Linked DNA regions of Arabidopsis thaliana. The protein of the gene in region 1 binds, or shares a complex with, the protein of each later gene. Each region holds a gene or a part of one and is shown on either strand. Other genes may lie near its edges.

The links.
Region 2: CIPK16 (region 1) and CBL2 share a complex: the UniProt entries of both Arabidopsis thaliana proteins name them as parts of the K(+)-channel calcium-sensing kinase/phosphatase complex.

Annotation. Positions count from the first base shown.
Region 1 is NC_003071.7:10,668,882-10,675,559, forward strand, and holds CIPK16 (CBL-interacting protein kinase 16), read right to left. Parts: upstream 4,012-6,678; 5' UTR 3,730-4,011; coding exon 3,029-3,729; intron 2,370-3,028; coding exon 1,661-2,369; 3' UTR 1,529-1,660; downstream 1-1,528. Other genes in the region: GPX1 (glutathione peroxidase 1), read left to right, coding at 1-55, 474-592, 665-832, 918-947. UniProt on the Arabidopsis thaliana protein: CIPK serine-threonine protein kinases interact with CBL proteins. Binding of a CBL protein to the regulatory NAF domain of CIPK protein lead to the activation of the kinase in a calcium-dependent manner.
Region 2 is NC_003076.8:22,669,397-22,675,669, reverse strand, and holds CBL2 (calcineurin B-like protein 2), read right to left. Parts: upstream 4,558-6,273; 5' UTR 4,125-4,557; intron 3,656-4,124; 5' UTR 3,599-3,655; intron 3,518-3,598; 5' UTR 3,482-3,517; coding exon 3,358-3,481; intron 3,222-3,357; coding exon 3,139-3,221; intron 3,041-3,138; coding exon 2,981-3,040; intron 2,885-2,980; coding exon 2,776-2,884; intron 2,701-2,775; coding exon 2,648-2,700; intron 2,554-2,647; coding exon 2,473-2,553; intron 2,396-2,472; coding exon 2,283-2,395; intron 2,149-2,282; coding exon 2,091-2,148; 3' UTR 2,040-2,090; exon of another isoform or gene 1,815-2,039; intron 1,757-1,814; 3' UTR 1,570-1,756; downstream 1-1,569. Other genes in the region: AT5G55980 (serine-rich protein-like protein), read right to left, coding at 5,028-5,369. UniProt on the Arabidopsis thaliana protein: Acts as a calcium sensor. CBL proteins interact with CIPK serine-threonine protein kinases. Binding of a CBL protein to the regulatory NAF domain of a CIPK protein lead to the activation of the kinase in a calcium-dependent manner.

The DNA.
Region 1 (6,678 bases):
ACATCATCAAATTACTCAGAGCTTTCACATCTGTACGAGAAATACAAAACTCAAGGTGAGTTCTAATTAGTTCTCTCATATTGTGATCTATTCCGGTTTGCAACCAGTGGGTATTTTGGTTACTTACTGAAAATTCCTCGTGTTTTGGTGTTCACTTAATTGTTCTGTAGATCTTTATATTATTGTGGTGTCAATATGATTTGGTTCTATTGTTGCTTCTTCTACAGCGATGTTACTAGCTCGTAGTTCACTTTAATTTATGGAAATAAAATTGTTCTGTAACGTTGAACTGCAAGCAAATTCAGCATCTTTGTTTGATTGATGATAATCTCACTCATCCGTTCTCTGTAGCTAAAAGAATTTTCTCGAAAGTACGGATCTGTTCATTAATCATTTAGGAGGCAATAAGCCAATGAACGTGTATTTCTCATGCATTTGTAGTTAGTAATACTAGCTTGTTGTTTGGATTACAGGATTTGAGATTCTAGCTTTTCCCTGCAATCAGTTTGGTTTCCAAGAGCCCGGGTCAAACTCCGAGATCAAACAATTCGCTTGCACCCGGTTTAAAGCAGAGTTCCCTATATTTGATAAGGTATAAAGAATCCAAAACATTCATTCTTCTTATTTTCAGGTTGCAGATTCTAAATAAGTTTGAATTCGACAGGTTGACGTGAATGGACCAAGCACAGCGCCGATCTACGAGTTCTTGAAATCAAACGCAGGAGGATTCTTGGGTGGTCTCATTAAATGGAACTTTGAGAAGTTCTTGATTGATAAAAAGGGAAAGGTCGTTGAGAGGTACCCTCCCACCACATCCCCTTTCCAAATCGAGGTATGGCTAATGGACTACTTCCTATTTGGTTCATAGCGGTTCTATTCCCGGTTTGTAACCAAACCGTTTTGTTTCTGTTTTGCAGAAAGACATCCAGAAGTTGCTTGCCGCTTAAAAACTTTTGCTCATGAGTGAGCATATAGAGACTGATGGTTAAAGTAACCGTAAATTGTGACATAAAGTTTCCGGTTATTGCTTGTATACCTTCTTACATTCTAAGTTGTACTAATCGCTTAATAATTTGCGTATAATGGTAATGTTATATACATTATATTATAAAAATGGTGTTATATATACAATAAGACAATCTCGCTCGCGCACATCCAATCAACAACGATGGAGATGATATTACAAAAAAAAGCATTGAACCCTTCACCTCTTACATTTCAAAGTGTTTATTAAACTAGATTAGTTACAGTTCCTTATGTAAAAATTCAAATATTTATAGTTTAGTGGGTGCACCAACGTGAGTCCGCCCTACTTAATCTTATATACATTATTTTATTGAATTTGAAAAGTAATCCGCAATATAACCCTTGAACGTGTATAGATTTTGTAAACCGTATAAGTTTGTATATAGATTAACAAAACTACTTCGCTTTGAACACTTGAAAAAAAAAAAAAATGAGAAGTAGACTCGAACTAATGACCTATAGAACGTTCATAACATATATAACCAATTTTGCTTCAATAGTTTTTGACAATTGTACAAACCCTCCAAGTAATTTTTATTGTTAATCATAAAAAAAATGTTCTTATACATTTGCAATTTCACAATAAGACAGTCTCGCCTCGCACATCCAATTCCAAAAAGTGAATTATTACAGCTCATGAAACATTATTTATTTTGTTATCATTTGTGTCAACATTATCATTAGTGGTAACATCGTCTTCATCATCATCACCTTGCCATGACCATACAATGTCTTTAAGAGCTGGTCTGACGTCATCCTCACAGAAGAGGTAATACTCCAACGTATCCCCCGAGGTTTTGCAGAACTCCACGACAGAGACTTCAGGAGCGACTTCGAATACTTCCGCCGTCACCGAGAGCCTTCCTTTACGACCTTCTGTTCTTCTTTGCAGCTTCATCTTGCAGTCTTTTACATGTTTCACTCTCATATCCATCTCACGCGCCGCCGTCTCCAGCCTCTCTTTAACAGATTTCGCCGGGAACTTCGATGTGAACATCCGCTTTGGCTTTCGTTTTATCTCGAATAGGTTAGAGAGATCGAAACCTGAAGACATTGATGTGATGAATTGGAAGGCGTTGAAGGATCTTGGTGAAGCTCCGTCGTCTTCTTTCTCGTTTAGGTCTTTCTTCTTTTTCTTTGTTGGTGGCTCCGGTGGAGATGGGATCGTTTCGTCTATCGAAAAGGCTACTGATGGTGTAAAGTTCTTTCGGAACCATGGAATCATTTTGATCTCTGACATTGAAATTCTTTGTTCAGGATCCGGCACAAGCAATCTTGAGAGTAGTTCCTTGGATTCTAAGGAAAACCACGGTGGGAACTCGCATTCCGCCTTGAAGATCTTCCTGTTTATTTCGAAAGGTTCAATCAAACAAGAAACAACAATGAGAATTTGATCAATTCACATTCACATTCAACAATACTAATATTTGAATTTGTAAGAAGAGCACTATTTGAGACCGTTATTATTGGCGGGAGTTTTATAAATTATCTAGTAAAATACGGGACGTGAAATTTTGATAATATAGAACTATAATGAAATATACGATCGACCAACATTTATCGAATTTGATATCAGATTAATGTACCTAAAATACCACCCGAATATTCACAAATTGATAATAGTTTCAATATCTTGGAAAATATTGTATAATTTTGAGTAATTATTAAAATTTGAATTACGTGAACAAATAATTCAAATACTATATATCTTTTCTTTTTGTGTGTGTAAACTTTCAAATAGTATATCTTATATCCAAGTTTTGTATCTATTGGTACAAGTTAAACTGTCTCTTTCAAATAATATTTTATTTAACCAAAAATGATTATTATTTCTTTTTAACATATATAAGTATGTGATGTAAAATTGAGATGCATCTAGAAACCCAACTCAAAATGGACTACTTTGGCTTTTAGTTCAATATTTTTTTGTATCTCACTATTCGTCAAATAAATAACAAAAACAAATACGGTTTGGGCCAAAACCTGGTCAAGAAATACTTACGTGTACAATGTCATGACGTTTTCGTCGATAAACGGCAAGAAGCCAGCAAGGAGTGCATACAAAACAATCCCGCACGACCAAATATCAGCCATAGCTCCGTCGTATCCTTTATTCCGTAAAACCTCCGGCGCCACGTAAGCCGGTGTCCCGCACCGCGTATGTAAAAGATCATCGCTGCTACCACGCCTGCCACCTAGCCCTTCTGGCATCATCAATGCGGAAAGTCCGAAATCCGTTACCTTAAGATCACCTTCTCCGTCAAGCAACAGATTCTCGGGTTTAATATCGCGGTGGAAAACACCGCGGCTGTGGCAAAAATCCACCGCGGATATCAATTGTTGGAAATACTTTCTGGCTAGATCCTCCGGGAGCTTCCCATCTCTATCGATCATTTCGAAAAGCTCTCCGCCGTTGACGTACTCCATGACGAAGAAAATCTTCTTCTTTGTAGCCATTACTTCGCGGAGCTCGACCACGTTTGGATGACGGAGGAGACGCATGACGGCGATCTCTCGTTCGATTTGCTCCATCATGCCACGACGTTTGAAAACGTGGTCTTTTTTGATGACTTTGATTGCCACGTCATCGCCGGTGGAGATCTCTGTTCCGTGATACACTTTGGCGAAGTTACCGGTTCCGAGAAGTCTTCCGATGTTGTATTTGTCGAACAAGACAGTACTACTACGGTTTGATTCTTCCATTGTCTTTGTCTGACTAGTTACAAGTATATGTGAGACTAATTATGTGGAATTTTGTGATTTGGTTACATATCTATATATATAAGCAGAAATTATTTGTGGAATTTTTTTATTTATAATGTTGTCTACTTTGTTTGATATGTGACGACTAAGTGAACTGTGAAGAAATGTTCTAATCTTATCTAAACAAAGTGATGTGCCTAAGATCTGGCAGCTAGCATAATTAAATACGACCAAAGCCAAAAGAATAACCAAGACGAAATTGATTCGCGAATTGAACTAAATCGGGGTTTGCTATTTATGTTGAGTGCCTAAAAAAGGGTTATAGAACATGATAAAACTAGATATAATTAACAAACTAAAGCATGAAAAATAAATATCTCGAGTTACGATGCAATGATCATAAGAGAATGATTTCAATAAAAGTGTAACAGGTGATTTAAATCCATTTCTATGTAAATAAATCCTTTTTTTAACCAGTTAAACAATGGTCTCGCACATTTCTGACCATGTATTCATGTAAATAAGTTCTTAAAGTTTTCAGAATAGATTTTAAAAATATAAAAGTAACTCTCTTATCCTTATACAAAAATTGTGGACGCCATGAAATTGACGTGGAATCGCCGTTAATGCTACGCATGTTTTGAAGTAGATACGCATTAATTAAAAATAGTAAACTTGTCCCGATAAAATTTCAATGAACTGTCTTTTTTTGGTAAGGCAAGATGTGACCTTTTCTACTTGGCCCTTAAATATTTTTAAAACAATTTCTTGACTTATTTTTCATAGAGGAATTTTTAATTTCTTTCGAAAAGCTTTGACTCTTTTCCTAGTTGGGACGATTGTATCGGAAAGTGGTCATTTCTAATACGTCCGTGAATCTATCGACCAAATCTTCCTTTCTACATCTTTGCTAATTTCTTGGTTTGATGGATTCTTCATATTTTGCTACTCAAAACAACACACTCAATTTTTCCAATTGTTTTCTTACAATTTGATGATTTTTCTACATACATGAAAATCTCATTATAACCGTGTATTTGGGTGGGATACTGTTATTTTCCTCTATCATAATCAAAGGTACATCTTGTAAAGCTAAATCTAAATTTTAACAAAAAAAAAAGAAGCTAAATCTAAATTTGTTCGATTTAAAGATCAGGATTATTAAGATAATATATAACTAATCATTTTAAGGAACATGTATAACAAGTCCAAGAAACTTTGTGATGTGTCATGATTTGGACCCACGATTAATGACAACAATTATGTTTACACAAATGTTAATACTCTAACGAAATACTATAACGAGTTTTACCCAAAAAAAAAAAAAAAAAAAAAAAAAAAAATACTATAACGAGATATGTATTTAAAATTGAAGAGTAAAAGGGTAACATCACAAACATAGTACACTATTTTGTGGCTAATTGGGTGATCACAGACATATATCTACTTATCGCGCTGCATTTCCGATTGTTTGTTATTTTCGGGTGATTAGGTTGTCGAAACTAGCTGCTAAAACAAGCCATGCCGTGAATTTTGCATCACATTGATCAGTCAAATTTCAAGCAGTAGTTGATTGGAATATGCCCTAAAGAGTGAAAAGATTTGCAAATCCACCTAAATAAGCCATCGTTTGTGCTGCACATGGTTTAAATGTTGCATTACTTAATTAGAAAACAATTTGATCAAATGCATAGGAGTTCTACTTCGAACGAATCTAAAGATGTTACCTCATCTACCTTATGTTTTCCTGATGATAGAAGACCCCCTTACCTAAAAATGTTGTTCAAGGGTAAACAATAAATACATATATATACATGAGTGTGTGTGTGTGTACAAGCACGATTCATATTATATGTATGTTGCCAAAACCTTTGCTATTTGATGCACAATATGTGATGATGTAAACTTTATATATAAGTACAGAATGTTTGAATGGAGCTTAGACAATTTCTTGAACCAGAGAAAATAAAATAATAATTGGTGTTGTTGATAAAAACTCAACATGCCAAGAAAAACAGATTGCTGAAGTATGGATCTTCAAATTCTATCATTTACATAAATTAAAATGAGTGATCTTGCAAGGAAAAATGTGAAGAAAAATGGAAAATAAGAGTTCTTTGTAAGAAAGGGGAAGTTTTATTGAAATGAAAATATTGAAGACTTGGTAATAAAGAAGAATGCAAAAACCGTGAAGAATCCTACACAATTTTGTCTACTTCTTTTTTTTTTCTTTACTTCAAAAGTACAAAATTTTCTCTACTTTCTGTAGCTTCTCTTTTTGTTAGAAAGTTGATAAATCTTTGCAAAGGACGACTGTACTGGTCTGAAAGATCCATGTGACAGAACGAACTGTTAGATTAAAAATAATTACGCATTTACGAACTGTGTATTTGTGAAGATATATTTTGAAAGACACTTCGTTAACAATTTTGATTTCCTACATATATCTCCGTGACAATTCCCTAATCAATTAACACATTTCTTCGATCAGAGTTTGTCGTTTGCGTTTAGAATTGCATTTCCATGTTACAATATAATACACATTACTCTCATTTGAACATTCTTTATTAAAATGATGTACAAATGTGTTTGATTTTGCGTTTTATTTTAGAACTATCAATAGATTTGATGAGAAAGGAAAGTTTTTTTTTTTTTTTGAATATATGAAATGAAGCGAACTAATAAAGCTGGAACCAACAACTCTGAAATCATTAAAGTCAGAAACAAAGTTCACCAATATTCCATGTCTTCCAAATTTCCCAATCTCTTCAGAAATATCAGTATTGACTTCAATTAAAGCTACAAATATGTCTTAAAGATGCAATCATCTTAATCACAGAAAATACAAATATACACCAAGATACACATATTTGACCACATAATCATCGTGATTTTTAGTCCAACGACTCACTTACCCAAGTTAAAACTAAAAGGTGTAACAGTAGGACA
Region 2 (6,273 bases), on another chromosome or scaffold:
TCCTATGAGGAGATTTTAGTTATTTGTGTGAGCATAGTTATGAAAACATGTAGACAATAATTGAAACCCAAATGTAAAAGGTCCAAATTTAAAGTTTTTGTGGTTTAAAGCATAAAATTGATTTTCAAACAATATTCATGTAAAAAATAATGTATAAAAAATAAAAACTAAATCATATTAATGAAATATTCTTATTGAAAGAGAAAAAAGCTGAAGAGAGTGCGTGAAGTATGGTTGTTGGGTTGAGTTGGCTTTTAGAAGCATTATTTGATCTTGAAGTTGAGTTTGTGTCTAGTATGGCTGAAGATAAGATGAAGAGTAAAAACTGTTTTTTCAAAATGAAAAGTGTTTGGTAGTATATATTTCTTGGAGAAAGAGATAGTCTACATAGAGCGTGAAGAACTTTTAGAAGAAGTTTCTTATTTCAGTCTTGTAAAGAAAAACAAGAAGAATGGTCTTCCATCTCGTTTATATGATTTATTTTTTATACGCTAAAAATATGATTGATCATGTGTTTTATTCAATTTTAAAAGCACATTAACATTAATCAATCATTAATAGATCTAATGTGCTTGATGTTTTAGTTGGTCTTATAAATTAATTTCACCGATAAATGAATTTTTTTTTCTCCGGCGAGATAAAACATTACATGGTGAGGCTTCAAGCTAAAGTTGGCTTCATTACATCTAACAATTTCGACATTTTTATGTACGAAACTTGTAGTTATATCAAGCTTAGTTTCTTTGAATTTTAACTATCGTTTCCAAGGCAAATCTCTCATATTTTTTAACCATAGAAAAATAATCTTTTATACTCTTTTTATTCTTTCAAACCAATTAATCTTTTTTCTATGAGGAGATTTTAGTTATTTGTGTGAATATAGTTATGAAAACATGTAGACAATAATTGAAACCTAAATGTGAAAGGTCCAAACTTAAACTTTTTTGTGGTTTAAAGCATAAAATTAATTTTCAAAAATATATATGTCAAAATGATGTATATAAAATAAAAACTAAATCATATTAATGAAATATTCCTTTGAAAGATAAAAAAGCTGAAGAGACGGCATGAAGTATGGCTATTGAGTTGAGTTGGCTTTAGAAGCACTGTTTGATCTTGAAGTTGAGTTTGCGTCTAGTATGGCCGAAGATAAGATGAAGAGTAAAAGTTGCTTTTTCTAAATGAAAAGCGCTCCTTGGAGAAAGAGATAGTCTACATGGAGCGTGAAGAACTTTTAGAAGAGGTTTCTTATTTCAGTCTTGTGTAGCAAAACAAGAAGAATGGTCTTCCTTCTCCTCAAGAAAGAACATGGAAGTCATTGAAGCATAAATGAGTCATTCTTCCATTGCCTTACTACAAACACAATGTTCCCCTCATCTACAATGGATGGGAAACTTGATTGGCAAGTCACTTCCTTTTGTATTAATGTAGGGTTCTTGGTGAGGGAAAATCGCTAATTCTTCAATTAGGTTTTTTTTCCCTTTTCTCACCTCTTCTTCTTTTTGGAAGAACATTATTCATGTCTCTGCTTCTCAACCATCCCCCGAAGCTCTGCTTTCGTATACCCTTGTTGGTAAGATCATCTCCTCTTCTCTCTAATGGCGTCTCATCGAAGATCCACTTTTTGTCATCATGTAAGTTGATTCTTGTGGAGCTGATCTCGGAAAACTCGTCATTAGGAGGGCTGGTGACATCACTCAGTTTTGACTAGTTTTGCTTACAAGTCACATATGAAATGACTAGTTTTGCTTGCAATCTAGAAATCCATTGAATTAATATTAAAAGCTAACTCTAATAACCAAAACACAGAGATTGAAGCAAATCTTTTTAATTGGATTAATAAATAAACTGAAAAACTTTACATTACCATAACATCAAGATGCAAAAGTTGTATCTACAGATAGACCGAGCGAAATCAAAAAGGACAAAAACCAAACTAAAAAGAAGAATTTTGCTTCACAAAAAAAGCTCAATAAAAAATAAAATGAGTTCAGAGATTTAGAAATGTAACAAATAAAGAACCATAACGAAAGAACAACCTTCAACAATACAATGATGTCTTGCCGCTGCTTGCTTTTGCTTTTGCTTTTTCAGGTATCTTCAACCTGAGAATGGAACACAAAGCTTGGAAACGTAGTCGTGATATCCCTGCAGAGCAAGCACACAACAGGATCACGACCTTTATTACATATCATGGAGAATAGAAGAAAGAGAAACCAGAGAAGGAATTTGGTTGAATAGATTCAATCCTGGTTATATAAATAGAAAGATTTGGAACTCACTTGAGATATTGAAGAGTCATGTTCTTCAGAAGGCTGGGATGTCTAAGAACAAGGCTTCTCCACTCTTCCTTATCGATCTTTCCATCGTGTTTTGTGTCTGCTTCCTCAAACGTCTGAAACATTCAAAACTCGGGAAATTACTTTCAAAGAAAAAATATAGGGTGAAGAGGAAAAAAAGTAAGTAACTTACCTTGTCGATTATATCCTCAATGACAGTATCCTTCAAATTCATTCCAGATTCAGCAAGCGTAGCGACAACCATTTGTTTCACCTGGACAAATGATGGACGAAAATGTCAGTGAGGATAATAAAGCGCACTTCTACAAGGTTATATATGAAGCTATTTGAAGATATGGAAGCTTTACCTCTTGCCGTTCGATAAACCCTTGCTGTTTAAGATCATATAGCTGAAATGAAACTGCAAAAAAATAGTATATATCATTAATGTGTTATCCCAATCTTGTTTTTGAGATACAAGCTAAAAGGGACGTACAGTGAATTTTGTCATCTATAGGCGCATTTGGGTGAAAGACGGAGAGAGCACGAGCAAATTCCTCAAACCCCAGTATTCCATTGTGCTTTGTATCAAACAAATCGAAAACCTAGAAACAAAATCACATATTTCAGCATTTCTTCTAAACTTGATCTTGACAAAAATGGGTTTAAGAACACTTATAATGTGAAGAAAGAAACATTACCCGATCTGCAAACAAACTCTCTTTTTTATTTGTCTTAAACAAAGCCAACTGAAACTCTTCCTGATACAAACAAGAGATGAGTAAATTAGACAGATTGTTAGATCAATCACTAAAGCTTTACCAAATGAGGAAGAAGATCAAACAAGTTAGAGTTATACCTTGTTTATTAGCCCATCATCAATCACGGCACTGCTGATTTTCTTAAAAAGCTCATAAAGAGCTTCTATTTCACTCACACTAACTGCATTCCAAAACCAAATTCAATCATCAATAGTCTTCAGAAGAAATATTTTTGCATTCCTCAAATGGTATTGCATCGAATCTTATAACCGGAAAAAAAAAAAAAAAAAAAGAGTAGAGAAGGTGATAGGGCATACAAACAGTGTCTCTTGCAAGCAATTCAGGATCTCCAAGGCCACCAGATTGTTTATACAAATCAAGATCAAAACACCCTAAAACAGAGGTGCATAAATGCTTGATACCGTCAACGCACTGCGACATGATATATCTTAAGCAGCAAATCAAAACTCTCCATGCCTGCATATAAAACATTGTGAACTTGTTTTGCTAATTTCAAAAAACAGCTCTACAGAAGCAAGCATATGAAGAACACTGTACCTTTCAACCATTTCCTAGTGTTTTTTGCTGAGAAAGGATGAGACTTTGCGAGAGTATCTGTAACACAAGTTGCAAAATTCAGAGTAATCTAAATAAGTCAGTCAATATAGGCAACACAAACATTGCTTAGAAACTGAAGTCATTATCATGATTTTACTATTCAGATGATTCAGTTATGTCCACATAATATATACAATATTGAAGAAGATAAGAAAATTAATGGAGAATCTAAAGACTTAATCAAAGCTCATTAACCAAATTTTAATCTTAAACATCACAATTTATGGACACACAAAATTAATAAAATCCATCAGAAACAAACCCAAATTGGGAAATTTGAATTTATACATTAATGAACTCAAGGATTACACAATCAATTACAGGTTCTGAGAAACAAAACCCGATCTAGATCCCCAAAAATCGTCCTAATGGATTCGTGAATCGCAGATTCAACAGAGATAGAAGAATCTTGATATGTAAGTGAACTCAAAATGAGTAGAATGGATTTGCGTATACGAAAATTTACCGATTACGTTGATTCTCAATCTCAAGTCGGCTCTGGTTGTTGAAGCTGAGCGAGGAAGACGGAGACGATTTGTTGTAAAGCAGAGGAGAGAGTTGGAAAACAAATTAAAACCTGAAGAATCTTTTTAAATATCTCAACAAACAACAAAAACTCAATCTTTTTGCATTATTACAAATTAAATCCTGAAAAATCTGCTCAAATCGTCGTCGTTTTATTCTTCAAAATACGGTTCGATTTGATTTTCGTTCCGGTTAAGTAAAACTCGAGCTGAATTGAACCGGACATAAATTTGAATTTCACATTCACCCATAGAATATATGATCTATTGTGCTATTGGAGAATTTAAGTTTTCAAAAAATCTTCAAATTAGTACATTTTTTACGATGTTAAATGCAAAATAATCATACAAAATCAAAGATAATATGTGATATAGCCATTTTTTTCTATTGTCAAATTTTAAATTTTTGACAAGTAACATATAAAATCGAACCTCCCGAAATGATAAGTTCAATTATATCTTCAGAAATTTTAAAAATAATGTGATCATCAAAACGTTTACAATATATATAAATTTGCAAAAATATATTATATTGCGTATTATTTCTGACTTCGTAAAATTATTTTATATTTTCTTTATATAAAATGTAGACAGAAAAATTCATTTCAAGTATTTTTGAAGCATATAAAATGTGTATGTAATAAATGCTTAAATTTGAATCAAATTGGTGAAAATTAGATAAAAGTTTACCTTGAATCGGGTTAAGCCGATTTCAAGCGGTTTAGTAATACAGACCAATGTCTTTTTCGATAAAAATTATTGAACAATGTCAAAAGAAGAAGTAGAAGAAACAAACAAATAACAAAACCGACAGTTATTATACCGAACAAATCCAGTAACCGGGTTTACTGAGCCTTGAGGGAGTCACTAAACCGGCTCGACTTGGACGACAATAAAACAGCGAGGTTCGACCCAATAGACCCGGCACGTGTCAACGAATCAACGCGGTGATACCTGCACCTGAAAGAACCGGCGTGTGTCGTCGGAGAACATAAACAATTTAGCCTCGTAGATTTACCGGAGGACGATCTCCAACGTTTTAAACTAGGTGAGTTATTGTCTTGGCTCTTCGATTCAACGGTAGAGCTACCGGAGGGTTTAGGGTTGATCTTGGCTAAACTTGTGGAATACTTTTCTTGTGCCTTAGGTTGTCCGAGATTTAGGGTTGAAGGGTTTTCTTTCGTCATGGTTTTGACGAACGTAAATAAGAATGAATTTGTGTTGTTGTTTCTTGCTAATGAATCAAAAGGTAATTTCTATAGTGACTTTTGTTATGAAGGTAAAGAATGATTTGTGTTGTTTCTTGCTAATGAATCCAAAAGGTCATTTATAATAGTGACTTGTGAGAGAAGGCAGCTAAAAATAGTCGTTGGATGTTGTTGACAAACTGCTTTTTTAAGTTATTGGTGGTTAGTATTCTAGAAAAGAGTTATTGTAAATTAGTAGAAAATATTTGACTTGGAGGTTTTATTCTTCTTTTTATGGTTTACACATTTTGTGCAAGGACAAATATTATGACTTTTCAACCAATTAGGAACATACTTAGTTGTGTTAGTGCCAATTGAGAATCTAGAACAGTCTAATTTAAAGATTCTGTAACCAAAAAAAAACATCTGATTGTTTTTGTTTGGTTTGTGCCTATTTTAGGTTTTGACAGACTCAAAGGCTTAAAATTCAAACTCTAAATTAAACACCCTAAGACTTACTTATATAGCTGAAGTCAAAACCATCTCAAAGACTCCAACTATTTAGATGCCATGTCCAAAACTTTTATACTTATGAGATATAGTTAATGCTATAAAAATATTTCTTTTAAGAAAACCGACATCCTAATTGATAGTTAATGAAGTAATGTTTGGGTTTTCAGTTTTAAATTGCAAAAAAAAAAATTGAACATATAAAAAAATATATACATCAAGATATGTAAATGAGACGAGAGAAAAAACAAAATATGTAGTATAAACACTATATTAAGATTCTATAAAGTTGTTGCCATTGTGATTTGCATCATCTACTCACAATGTACATAACGATTACTGGTGAGCTCTTTATGTACAAAAAATTTGACACTCACACAAGTAATCGACTTTG